Linked DNA regions of Macaca fascicularis. The protein of the gene in region 1 interacts with the protein of each later gene in a pairwise test. Links are inferred from orthologs where the notes say so. Each region holds a gene or a part of one and is shown in the gene's direction. Other genes may lie near its edges.

Region 1 (3,774 bases):
AAGGACACAGCTATAGGCCACTGATCCAGAACTCAAACCACATTCTCCTACTGTCCAAACCGCTGAGTACAGCCTCCCTTCTCGGGGCCTGCATCCTGGACCAGGTCGGAAACAGAATCTAACGCCTTGTAGAGCCCCACACATGCCAGGCCCCCTTCGCTGAGACTTTGCCCAGCCTGTTGCCTCTCTCTGGAACACCAGGCTCCCTTCTGGCTCATTCAGATTAGAATTAGAGAGCCCAGCTCAGATGTGACTCTTCCAGAGAGGTTCCAAGCATTCAAACCCACTCTCTGCCATGTCACTTAGCTTTCTGTGCCTCAGTGTCCCCACTTAGAATATAGGCTCATGTTGCAGGTTTGTTGTGAGGGTTAAATGAGATAATACACGCAGTATACTGACCTCACAGCCTGCTCCTGGTGTGCACCCTGTCGATGAAAGTCATTGATAAACACTTGAGGCAACACAGAGGATCATGTAAGGATGGAAAAAAAAAATGACGGCTTTGTGCTCCTTTCCAGGAGTGTTGGGTGAGGAGGAGTTGCAGGTGATTCAGCCTGAGAAGTCCGTGTCCGTCGCAGCTGGAGACTCGGCCACTCTGAACTGCACTGTGACCTCCCTGATCCCTGTGGGGCCCATCCAGTGGTTCAGAGGAGCTGGACCAGGCCGGGAATTGATCTACCATCAAAAGGAAGGCCACTTTCCCCGGGTAACATCTGTTTCAGAGTCCACAAAGAGAAACAACATGGACTTTTCCATCCACATCAGTAACATCACCCCAGCAGATGCCGGCACCTACTACTGTGTGAAGTTCCGGAAAGGGAGCCCCGACGTGGAGGTGAAGTCTGGAGCAGGCACTGAGCTGTCTGTGCGTGGTGAGTACAGTGCGGGCCTCCTTCGTCCCCTGGTGTGTGACAATAACTCAATAATAACACCCTCCATTCTTAGAGCAACAATCAGGTGTGGTGGTGGGTGCTCCTTTTCATGAATTAATGTCTCCCCCTTTTACAGATAAGGGAAGTTGAGGCCTGGAGATGTCATGCTATTTGCTCAAGGCTCCACGGCTGGTAAAGGGTGGGAACATCTGCATCCTTCATCTGCCTGGCTCTGTAGCCCTGGCCTCTTCAAATCGGGCCCAGCCCTTTGGTTCCACAGATGAGGGAACTGACAGAGTGACTTGCCCAGGCACAGGGCCAGAGCTCACCTGCTGCCTCCAGAGAGCACTTCCCCCTCAGTGTGGCCGAGTCTCCTCTATGCGACAGGCACTCCCTGAGAACCTACTGTGTGCCAGGCTCCACCAAGCTTGTGTTCTCATCCCTTCCAATAAGAATCCACCCAGGGCAGGGAGCAGCGGGGGTGTGCTTTCCTTTATTTCATCACCAAACATCAACTAAGAAGATTCCTAAAAGGCACAGATTTACTGTTTGATCTGAATGCCCTGGTGAAGAGGAGAAGCCAGAGGTTTGGGCATTTTCTGTGGGTCTTTTAGAAAAACCCTTGTATCGTTTAGGGACTGATTCATGCAGTCACTAAAGGCTCTGAACAAAGCTGGGTCATCATAGAATGTCCCTCACCCCAGGGAGGAGGTCTCCCTTCTAGGTGACTTTGGGTTCCTCAGTTAAGGCAGCAAAGATGTTCATTTTGTATTTACTGCCAGAGCACCAGAATCCTCGTTCTAACTCCGGATCCTGGGACATTAGTGCAGGAAGGACCCTCAGACCATGCAGCCCAACCCCCAGTTACAGGTGGAAACTTGAAGTCAGGAGATGACAGGGGCCTTGCCCACAGTCACAGGACCAGTTGGTGACAGGATCTGGACTAGAGCCCACATCTGATTCCGGGAAGGCTCGTTCCTGCCCATGTTAGACATTGTTTCCACAGAAGAGCCTGGTGCATCACAGGTGCTGACTGAAAGCTCCTTGAACAGAACCGCTAAGCAGGGAGCCAGCACTTCTCCTTTTCATCAGTTTCCTAAAGGTTCAGAATACTCACATTCAGACCGTTACACCCATTGGTGATTGGAAAACCTCTCCCAAATGTAAGCCTTAGCGTTCGATGAGATTTCATATCAGGATGGAGACCTGCTGCATTGTGTAATAGCTACAGAATACTCCAGCTTATGGAAATGTCAGATTTATTTTGCAGTCTTCCATTGATGGATACGTAAGTTGTCCCCAACCTTGAGCTATTAAAACAGTTCTGCAGTGGATGACCTTATACATGTGTGACCTTACTCAGGTGGGAGACGCCCACTGGAAGTGCCATTGCTGGATCAGAGGGGGTGTGTGTTTTAATGTGTGTGGAGATGGCCTAATTTCCCTCCTCGACATTATAACAATCAAGTCTCCCCACAACCCCTGGACATAGGCAGGGAGGATGGCTTTATCCTGATTGTGCAGATATTACAGGAAGAGACATTGAAGTTCCCAGATGATGCATCCCGTGCCTAGACAGTCACAGCAAGTAAGTGGCCTAGGTGTGACCCACATCTGCTGACTCCTAGTAGAGTGCTCACTCCTCTTTGCCATGTTGTCAGCCTAAATGATGCCCTGGATGAGAAAGGAGGGAGGTGGGAGGAGGCCATGGAGCAGCAACTGGGCCAGATCCTCATCCTGGCACTTTCTCCTTTTATAACAAGTACTATGAAGGAAAAGCCATTTCTTGCCCCTTTTACAGATAGGGACTCTGAGGCTCAGAGAGGAGACCTGTGTGGTGAGCAAGTAGGGGAGCCAAAGTTTGGTCCCCACCAGCCTGACTCACAGCCCCTGTCTCTGTAACACTCAGCTGTGCTTGTCAAAGTGTGGAGAAATGCTCCACCCTTCTCATTCCGAACTCTTGCAGTTCTATAGCAATAAGCATAGGCTGAGGCAGGAGAATTGCTTGAACCCAGGAGGTGGAGATTACAGTGAGCTGAGATTGTGCCACTGTACTCCAGCCTGGATGACAGAGCAAGATTCTGTCTCAAAAAAAGAAAGAAAAAACAAAACAACAAATCCTATGGGAGTAGGAGGGACTGGCCCCCATCAGAAAGGTCCTGCAGATGTCTCATGATATGGGAACCTGTTCCTGAAGGACAGGTCTCTGCACATCACTGAGCAGCATCCATGGAGCAGAGTTGGGCCTCCTGCAGCCCGGCAGACCACATGCTCATCTACTCATGGTGCTGAGGACTAAGGATAAGGAGATGAGTCATTTCCTGGTGGGTTCTTGGGGCTCACTGGAGCAAGAGTTTATATTCTCCCCTCAGGCTGTCAGGAGCCCACTGACTTCAGTTTATGGCTATAGGGTAACCAGATCTGGGTGCCCTGGCAGGAGGCTTCTCCCTAGAATTGCATGAAGTCAAGGATCTCAAAGAGAAAAAGGGAAGGTGGTGGTCAGTGTCAGGGTTCATGAAGTTCAGGCACTTGCTCAACTGATAGACACGAGAGCTTGGGGAACGCTGGAAATGCCCATTGGGTACTTGGAGGATGAGGAGACAGTGCCTTTGCTTTTCTCAGCCTCGTTTTCCTCATCTGTAGAATCAGACTGGAGTGCAGTGGCGCGATCTCGGCTCACTGTAATCTGCATCTCCTGGTTCGAGCAATTCTCCTGCCTCAGCCTATGCTTATTGCTATAGAACTGCAAGAGTTCGGAATGAGAAGAGTGGAGCATTTCTCCACACTTTGACAAGCATAACTGAGTATTACAGAGACAGGGGCTGTGAGTCAGGCTGGTGGGGATCAAACCTTGGCTCCCCCACTTGCTCACCACACAGGTATCCTCTCTGAGCCTCAGAGT
Region 2 (4,574 bases), on another chromosome or scaffold:
GAAAAGAAAAGAAAGAAGCATTGATATTGACATTTACATAGGGAGGGGAGGGGTCCCAAAGCCCCAGCTCCACCACCCAAACTCCAGGTCCCAGGTAGGAAGCAGAGGCACTTTCTCTGTGCCCCTTTATGGCAGGGGTGGGGAGGTTGGGGGTAGAAAAAGGATGGGGGTCCTCTCGTATCATTTTCTAAATGTTGGGGGATTTAAATCTTGATGCATCTGGGTTCCTTGGGAACTTAATGGAGGGCGTACACTGCAGGCCAAAAGCAGTTCTCTCAAAAGCAGTTCTCTCTGCACAGGGGGCCTCTGGGCCTGGAGAGCGGGGACAGGAGCCCAGAGAGTCTGCTGCCTCCGATGCTGCTTCAGCCCCCTCAAGAAAGTGTGGAGTCTGCAGGGCCTCTAGATGTGAGTACCCCTTCTGCTGAAACAGGGGCATGAGACCTGGTGGGGTCTAGCTCTCTGTGGAGCCTGGAGAGGGCACCACTGACCCAGAGCTCTCCTCAGGTGCTGGGCCCCAGTCTCCAAGGGCGAGAATGGACCCTGATGGACTTGGACATGGAGCTGTCCTTGGTAAGAAGTGGATCCGGGAGGGCAGAGGCCAGGGGTGGCTGAGCCAAGCCCTCTGGTCCATAGCTGTTCTCTGTGAGCCAGAGCCATGTCTCTAGGAGAATTGCCGCAGTGATTTCCCAGCTGTTCCCCTCAGCTGCTAGGTCCCCTCCCCAGCTGCTCCCTGCGGTTCTCACACAGATGCAGCCCTTGGTTCCAGAGCCGGGTGAGCCTGAGCTGGCGGTCAAGGGGTTAAATTCTCCAAGCCCAGGTAATGGTTGTGATGACTCATACCTGGGAGGACGCCGTGATTGGGCTGAGCTACCTTGATTGAGTGAGGGGGCAATCTGCAATTTGCAGGGAAATCCTGAGTTCAGGCTGCCCTGCAGAGCGCGTTCATTGAGCCACCCGTGCCCTCACCATTGGGCGAGAGTGGGGAGTTTAAGAATGGATGCTTCATCCTAACTGAGCAGAAGGCAGGCAGGGAGGGCTCTCCTTCCCTGAAGAAAGGAGGGGGAACCTTTCCCCTGGTGAGCACAGCCCCGCTTCTCCTAGGGAAGGACCCCACGCTCGGGGCCCCACTCCTGCTGGATGTCCAGGCAGCCTTGGGAGGCCCAGCCCTGGGCCTGCCTGGGGCTTTAACCATTTACAGCACTCCTGAGAGCCGGACCGCCTCCTACTTGGGCTCTGAAGCCAGTCCCTCCCCCTGAGACCCCGCGCCTCTGAAGGGGCTTGGAACCAGTCCGCGGCTGCACATCCTTCTTGGCTTCCTGGCGCCCCCTGGCGGGAGTGAGCGAAGCCCCTACTATTCAACGGCCTCTCTCCACTACCCCGACGAACCCTGCACATAAACTCCATTTTTTTTTCTGTTTCGCGTCTCTTTTCTCTATCGACCAGGCAGCACAGGAGTTGTGGGTGGGGGGTGATTTTGCACTGTAGAAGCGTCCAGATACTAGGTCTTTAATAGAGGAACCCCAGGAGGGTGGAGGTGCTTGGGGATCCGGTGTCTAGCTCCCTTGCTTAGGCCCGGATCCAGGGCTGGCGCGGCGCCGCTGCAATCTCTGGGAAGCGGGGGCTTCTGAGTCGCACTCAGCTCTGCAATGCATGCGTTCTGTGATCCTGGGTGAGTTGGTACCCTTCTGTGAACTTCGTCTGTGACAGGCAGAGAAGAGGGGTCGATGACAAGATAGATGGAAAGCACCTGGAAATTGGCAGGCCCTGAGTGGGCACTGGACGTGTGGGGCCGCGGGCCGAACTGCCCCCTCCCGGCCTCATCTCCTGGTGCGCCCCGGGTGGGAAGGGAAAGCTGACTACGTGCACGTCCCCAGCCCGCGCGCGGCTTCCGCGGCGTGGCTCCCAGTGCCCGGGGAAGAAGCCCTCACCCTCCCTATTCCCAGCAGCCCTGGCCGCCCCGCCCCCGCCGCAGCTGCTGCACCCACCCCCACCCTGCCCGGGCCTTTCTGCACCGTCATCTCCTGCCCCGCCGAGGCTCGACCCGTGAGTGGGGCCGCCCAAAACGGGCCAGACCTGGAGCCCCACTCCCGGCTGTGGGAGGGACGGGAAACCGAGATTGGGCAAAATCAGCGCCCCGTCACCCGCTGCGGCCCTCGGGGTGAGGTCTGTGGACCCCGCCCTGCCGCAGGACTCTCAAGCTCTGGGACTGGGTGAGCTCTGGGAGGTAAGGCGTGGGGCGGGGAATCCGTGCGGCCGCACATGCGCAAAGGCTCTTCAGTGACCCAAGACCCTGGCTTCCCCGCCAAAGAGCCCGCGCTGCTAGTTGGGGTTGGGGGCTAGGGCCCAGCTCCACACCCCGCCACGTGGCTCTCTGGGAAGCATCGGACCTGTCACCCTCGAAGGACTGGCCGCTAAATAACTTCGGTATTGAGAGCTCTGAGAGCCTCAAAGGGAGGGCCCAGACCAGCTGGAGTCACTACCCCTAGACAGGATAAAGGGCAGGACTTGGGGTCATAGGAGGAGGAGGCTAACATGAAAACAACGTAGGCTGGAGAGAAGGAGGGGGCAATCCAATCTGCACCCTCCCTGTGTCTGTCCCAAGTAGGTGCTGTCCCCCTCTCCCTTCCTATGCCCACCAATTGGAGGGACACTCTTAGGAAGCCTCAGTTGAAGAAAGCAGATAATCTGCACGTACACAGTGCAGTGATGTCAGTTAATGCGGTGGTGAGGACATATGTTGTTCACTGGGTACACAGAAGAAGGAACCACCTGCCCTTGGGACACTTAGACATTGGTGTAGACAAGGGAACATTTGAGTCCCGGAGGATGGATAGGTTCATGAAGAGGAGGGAGGGGGAAAGGATTCCAGTCTTAGCGATCAGCATCAGCAAAGGCTCCGAGGTGCCAGAGGCATAGTGAGTTCTCCCAGCCCTGACTCGTGGAGGGAAGCTGGGAAGGGCCTGGCTGTCCAGAGTGGTGGGAGGAGGCTAGAGTAGCCAGACCAGATACTTTTGGTTCTCTCAGATGGGCAGTGGGGTTGGCGGGGGGAGGTAGATAGGTATTTAGGATGGAATTCTGCTAGACAGGAAAATATAGTTAAGTTCCTCATAGTTCAGGCTGGAGCAAGTAAGATTCCAGTTTTACCACTGAATCTCTGAGCCTGTCTCTTTCCTCATCTGTAAAACAGGAACAGCAATCCTAGCCCAGAGAGTTGTCAAAATCACTGTGCTATAGGGCCTAGTGGAATGGGAGTGAGAGGGGCTCAGAGGAACTGTTACAGGACATGAGGTGACGATGGTGGGGTGGCAAGGCAGGAGCTGATGGAGACTCACTGAGAAGGGAAGCAATACTCATCACAGATGGGACATAAAGGGAGATGGAAGGGCAGGGGGTAGTCCTGGTCTCAGCTTGGTGGCCCGGGGGAAGGGCTTCAATGGGAGGGAGCCAGGGTGTGACGGGGGAGGTATAGCATGACACCAGAGGGTACTGAGAGAGACCTGGGAGGCAGGATGGCAGCTAGGACCAAATCCTCTCTCCCAGAGAAGGTCCAGCCTCCTAGAGCCAGGGAAGGAGGCGGAGGAGGGACAGCAAAAGGAAGAAGAGATGGGAGGATGCCTTGTGAACAAAGCCAAGGCAGGGAGGAAGGGAGGTTTTATCGGGGTGGGGGTGGGCTGAGGGCATGGTCCAAGACCTGATGTCTTTGCCTCCTAATGCCGGGGGTCTTGCTGGCTGGGTAAAGTCACTCATAGGAATGGGCCATAATCCTTGGTTGGCAATAAATGGACAAAGCAACTGAGTGCGGTGGCTCATGTCTGTAATCCCAACACTTTGGCAGGCCAAAGTGGGTGGATCACAAGGTCAGGTGTTCGAGACCAGCCTAGCCAACATTGTGAAACACCAACACCATCTCTACTAAAAACACAAAAAATTAGCTGAGCGTGGTGGCAGGCGCCTGTAGTCTCAGCTACTTGGGAGGTTGAGGTAGGAGAATCACTTGAACCCAAGAGGCGGAGGTTGCAGTGAGGAGAGAATGTGCCACTGCACTCCAGCCTGGGCAACAGAGTGAGACTCTGTCTCAAAAAAAAAAAAAAAAAAAAAGGATAAAGCAAATTAATTCTCCCTAATAGCTGCTGTTGGTAGAGATAGTCTCTCAAGAGTAATCCCAGCACTTTGGGAGGCTGAGATGGGAGGATCGCTCAAGGCCAGCAGTTCGAGACCAGCCTGGTCAATATAGCAAGACCAGGCCCGGCAGGTGGCTCACGCCTGTAATCCCAGCACTTTGGGAACCCGAGGCAGGTGGATCACGAAGTCAGGAGTTTGAGACCAGCCTGGCCAACATAGTGAAACCCCGTGTCTACTAAAAAAAATAAAAGAATAAATACAAAAAATATATAGCAAGACCCCATCTCTTAAAAATTAAAAAAAAAAAAAAAAAAGGTCGGGCTTGGTGGTTCACACCTGTAATCCCAGCACTTTGAGAGGCCAAGGCAGGTGGATCTTTTGAAGGCAGGAGTTCAAGACCAGCCTGGCCAATAAGGTGAAACCCTGTCTTTACTAAAAATTAGCCAGGCATA
Region 3 (4,443 bases), on another chromosome or scaffold:
TGTGGGTGGGGGTAGCAGGGAGCCAACGGTCCAGGCCCTACATCCTGTTCTAATAGAGTGACAAGTCTGAAGAGGCTGGGGGTGTACAGGCACTGAGAAGGCAGCAGGAGGACAAGGAGCCAAACATATGGGGTGGCAGGGGAACCCAGGGAGCCGGATACACGGTGGGGGGAGTCATGGGAGTTGGACACATGGGGCAGGTGGGGGTCCAGGGACCTAGACACAGGGAGTGGGGAGGGGATTCCAGGGGGCTAGATACACAGCATGTGGGGTGGGTCCAGGGGGCTAGACACACAGGGTGGGGGGTGGATCCAGGGAGCCGGACACACACGTGGGGTGGGGAGGGAGCATCCAGGGAACCAGGTCTAGGCAGAGGCAACTGGTGCAAAGGCCCCGAGGCAGAAGAGGGTTTGGTGTGTGAGACGGGACTGAGGGCAGTGGGTGAGGGGCAGCCCCACCGGGACGCGTGGGTCCAGGAGGACGGGCTGTAGGGTGTCTGGGCTGCAGGCACGGCAGGGATTGGAGTGACCCAGTGTAACAATGTGGGTGGGGGATGACACCAGACCCCTGGTTTATTGCCCCACCAGGGGAATTCCCAGACACCAGACACCCCCTCCACTCCCACGCAGAAGTGCGGGCTGAGGGTTCGGGTGGACCAGGCTGCTCTGTCCCGGGGCCGGGCTCCGTTCATTGATCCGCAGATGGATAAGAACAGGTGCCATTTTCGGAGGATGTGAATGGTGGGGAATGGCTGGCCCTGAGGATGTTGTTCCCACAGGATGGTGGGGGCGCCTCCGGGCCCCGTCCTTTCCCCCAGTTCCCTAACCAGGATCTGAGCGGCTGCGCGCACGGCCCGGGCCCCGCCAGTCTCCGAGCCCGTGGGCGGCGCCGGGAACTCGTGCCCCGGTGGCCGCAGCCGACCCTCAGGCAGGACTCGGTGGCGCCCCGGCCCGTACAGACTCCCACGGGCAGCCTCGGCCGCCCCCGCCCCCGCGCTCCCCTCATCTCAGGGCAAACGCTCAAGACACCCCTTCGGGACCGCGAGCCGGGCGGCCTCAGGGAGCGGGCGCCTGGGGACCCTCGGCAGGGCCGGGGGCGGCGAGGGTGGGGGCGCCTCGCGCGGCGGAGCCCGCCGTCCCCATAGCCCGGAACCCAGTCCGGAGTCGCCCCGCTGACCGGTGAGGAGGCCGGGCTCCCTCCCTCGATCCGCGGCGGCGGTCGGCTCGGCCCGGGGCGTCTCTCGGGCCTGGGCGCAGCGCGGAACCCGGCGCGGCGGGAGCGGCCGGAACCCAGCGCCAGGGACCCCGTTTCCTGCCGGCGGGACCCGAGCGCTGCACCGAGCGCAGCCGGACGCGGCCGACTGACCCGGTCGCTGTGGCAACGCGGGGGGACCCGGCAGCGCTGCTGGCGGCCGTTCAGGTGAGGCGCGGGCGGGCGGCGTGGGCGGCGTGGGAGCCGCTCCGACCCCTCTTCCTGTGGAAAACCTCGGGACTTGCCGTCCTGTCAGACGAGGACCTGGAGCGCGAGGTCGACCCTCAGAGCCCGGCCGGGCCCGGACCGGGGACCCGCTCGCGGAGGCTGCGGCGGGGCGGGGCGGGAGTGTTTCCTCGGTCGCCCTTGGATGACCTGGGGCGGTGGGCGCTGCCGACCAGGGCCCCGCAACCCCGGGAGAGTTCTCCGGGTTCCGCCGCCGCCAAGGACGGCTCCGCGCCCAGGCAGCCTTGCTGTGTCTGAGTTTAAAAAAAAGAAAAAGAAAAGAAAGGCCGGGCGCGGTGGCTCACGCCTGTAATCCCAGCACTTTGGGAGGCCGAGGCGGGTAGATCGCTTGAGGCCAGGAGTTCGAGACCCGCCTGGCCAACATGGTGAAACCCCGTCTCTACTAAAAATGCAAAAATTACTGGGCGTGGTGGTGGGCGCCTGTTGTCCCAGCTACTCGGGAGGCTGAAGCAGGAGAATCGCTTGAACCCGATGTTGTAACCGAGCGAGTTATAGAGAGAACGCCACACTCTGAGACTAATTCAGGCGTTCTTTATTGCCGGCGGCGACCGAGAGACGGCTAGAGCTCGAAATTATCTCCGCCCGAAGAAGGGGCTAGATTTCTTTTTAAACCTTGGTCTAAATAGGGGACGGGGAGTCTAGCTGAAGCTATTTTTTTTTTTTTTTTTTTTTTTTTACAGAAGCAGAACAGGCAAAAAAGTTAGAAATGGTTACAGAAACAGTTACAGGAAAAAACAAAAAACAGTTTCAGGTGCAGGGGCTTCAATTACCACAAAGTGATAAACGCAGGGGCTTTGGGTACCATCAACAGAGCGCGTTCCCAGGAGCTGCTGGTACAGCTTGCTCCAGTTTCTTATCAGTAAGTGCATTCCTGGATGTGCTTGGGGTCGGCTTGCACCAGGTATGTCCTTAAGGGAGGGGAATAAGAGGCTGCAAGCAAAGAAACCAACATGGAGTCTGTCCAGCTCTCAGCTAAGAGAGAATCAATCAGGTTAAAACAAGGTAGGGTATTACACCGCGAGGCAGAGGTTGCGGTGATCCGAGATCGCGCCGTTGCACTCCAGTCTGGGAGACAAGAGTGAAACTCCATCTCAAAAAAAAAAAAAAAAAATTATCTGTAACTTAGAAAAAGATACAAAAGCAGCACAAAGATTTCCCGTGTACTCTTTACCCACAGCCCCTAGAATGCTGATCTCTTACAGAACCACAGTTCATTCAGCAACATGGAGACGCTGGCGTTCATGTTAATATAATCCCGTGATCTGGTCTCCAGTATTTATTCTCGTTTAGCAGCTGCTTCAAGGATGACTGTACCGTGGTCCAGGATCCAGTGATAAGTCCACTATTTTATAAAATGCCCCCCATTTTGGATTTCTCTGATGTTTTCTCGTAATTGATTTCATATTACTCATTTTTGGCCAGAAAACTTCAACAGGGAAATTGTGTCCTTCCCAGTGTCTTATGAGCCACAGGATGCCCCTGGCTGTTGGTGCTCATCGGGGCCCGGGGGCTGAGGTGGTGCCTGCCAAGTGTGTCCACAAAGTTGGGGTCCTTCCCTTTGTAAATAATGCATATTTTATGGGGAAATATTTTGCCACTATGTAAAAAATCTTCTTTCTTTTTTCTTTTTCTTTTCTTTTTTTTTTTTTTTAAGATGGAGTCTCTCTTCACTGCCCAGGCTGGAGTTTGGTGGCACAATCTTTGCCCACTGCAACCTCCACCTCCTGGGTTGAAGTGATTCTCTTGCCTCAGCCTCCCAAGTAGCTGGGATTACAGCTGCCCACGACCACTCCCAGCTAATCTGTGTATTTTTAGTAGAGACGAGGTTTCACCATGTTGGCCAGGCCAGTCTCAAACTTCTGACCTCAGGTGATCCACCACCTTGGCCTCCCAAAGTGCTGGGATTACAGGTGTGAGCCGCCACGTCCAGCCTTTTTTTTTTTTTTTTTTTTTTTGAGACTTGAGTCTCTTTCTCTCACCCAAGCTGGAGTGCAGTGGCTTGATCTTGGCTCACTGCAACCTCTGTCTCCCGGGTTCAAGCGATTCTACTGCCTCAGCCTCCTGAGCAGCTGGGATTACCAGCACCTGCCACCATGCCCAGCTAATTTTTATTTTTATTTTTATTTTTTTTGTATTTTTAGTAGAGACGGGGTTTCACCATGTTGGTCAGGCTGGTCTTGAACTGCTGACCCCAAGTGATCCGCCTGCCTCGGCCTCCCAAAGTGTTGGGATTACAGGCCTGAGCCACAACGCCCAGCAAGATCTTGTTTCTAACCATATACTTCTGTCACTAATTTTAGCACCCATGAGTGTTTCCCCAAAATAACTATTAATGTGCTATTTGTTAAATGATTTTTCTGTTTCCGTTACTCCTACATTTATTAGTTGGGATTCTCCTGTAAGAAAGAACCATCTCTTCTCATCAATTTTCTATTAATTTTCATTACTATATCTTTTTTTTTTTTTTTGAGATGGCGTCTCACTCTGCCATCCAGGCTGGTGTGCAGGGGTGAGGTCTCGGTGTTAGTACAAGTCTCACTCTGTCGCCCAGGCTGTGGAGTGCAGGGGTGGGGTCTTGGTGTTAGTACGAGTCTCACTTTGTCACCCAGGCTGGAGTGCAGGGGTGACGTCTTGGTATTAGTACATCTTTTTATCCCATGGATTCTAACCCATTGCTATCATGTACTTTGTGGCTCACATTGTCCAGATTAAGGTGTTAGAAGCCCCTTCAAGTTGGCCTCTCTGTCCTCATAGCACGTCCCAACCTTCTGGAGCATTTTCTTTCTTTCTGGCACCACAGAATTCAGGCTCATCTTACGCTTGCCTTGACATATCCCAGAATCAGTCATTTCTCCAAGGAGTCCTGGTTCCTTTTAGTTTAGAAGGTGGTGTTTAGAAACCAAGATCCCAGTACCAGATAGACATATTGCTTCTGGGATGCCATTT

Evidence for each region.
Region 2: the proteins of SIRPA (region 1) and NOL3 interact in a two-hybrid assay, tested with the Homo sapiens proteins (2 studies listed by BioGRID and IntAct). The two-hybrid records come from large-scale screens. The link is inferred for Macaca fascicularis from reciprocal best matches to the Homo sapiens genes SIRPA and NOL3.
Region 3: the proteins of SIRPA (region 1) and CCDC57 interact in a two-hybrid assay, tested with the Homo sapiens proteins (2 studies listed by BioGRID). The two-hybrid records come from large-scale screens. The link is inferred for Macaca fascicularis from reciprocal best matches to the Homo sapiens genes SIRPA and CCDC57.

The regions. Positions count from the first base shown.
Region 1 is NC_088384.1:85,388,203-85,391,976, reverse strand, and holds part of SIRPA (tyrosine-protein phosphatase non-receptor type substrate 1), read left to right. Parts: intron 1-518; coding exon 519-872; intron 873-3,774. UniProt on the Homo sapiens protein: Immunoglobulin-like cell surface receptor for CD47. Acts as docking protein and induces translocation of PTPN6, PTPN11 and other binding partners from the cytosol to the plasma membrane.
Region 2 is NC_088394.1:63,190,137-63,194,710, forward strand, and holds the start of NOL3 (nucleolar protein 3), read left to right. Parts: upstream 1-1,551; 5' UTR 1,552-1,650; coding exon 1,651-1,669; exon of another isoform or gene 1,670-1,698; intron 1,699-2,008; exon of another isoform or gene 2,009-2,224; intron 2,225-4,574. Other genes in the region: HSF4 (heat shock factor protein 4), read left to right, coding at 300-405, 505-570, 748-817, 1,102-1,256.
Region 3 is NC_088390.1:88,640,185-88,644,627, reverse strand, and holds the start of CCDC57 (coiled-coil domain-containing protein 57), read left to right. Parts: upstream 1-1,374; 5' UTR 1,375-1,419; intron 1,420-4,443. UniProt on the Homo sapiens protein: Pleiotropic regulator of centriole duplication, mitosis, and ciliogenesis. Critical interface between centrosome and microtubule-mediated cellular processes. Centriole duplication protein required for recruitment of CEP63, CEP152, and PLK4 to the centrosome.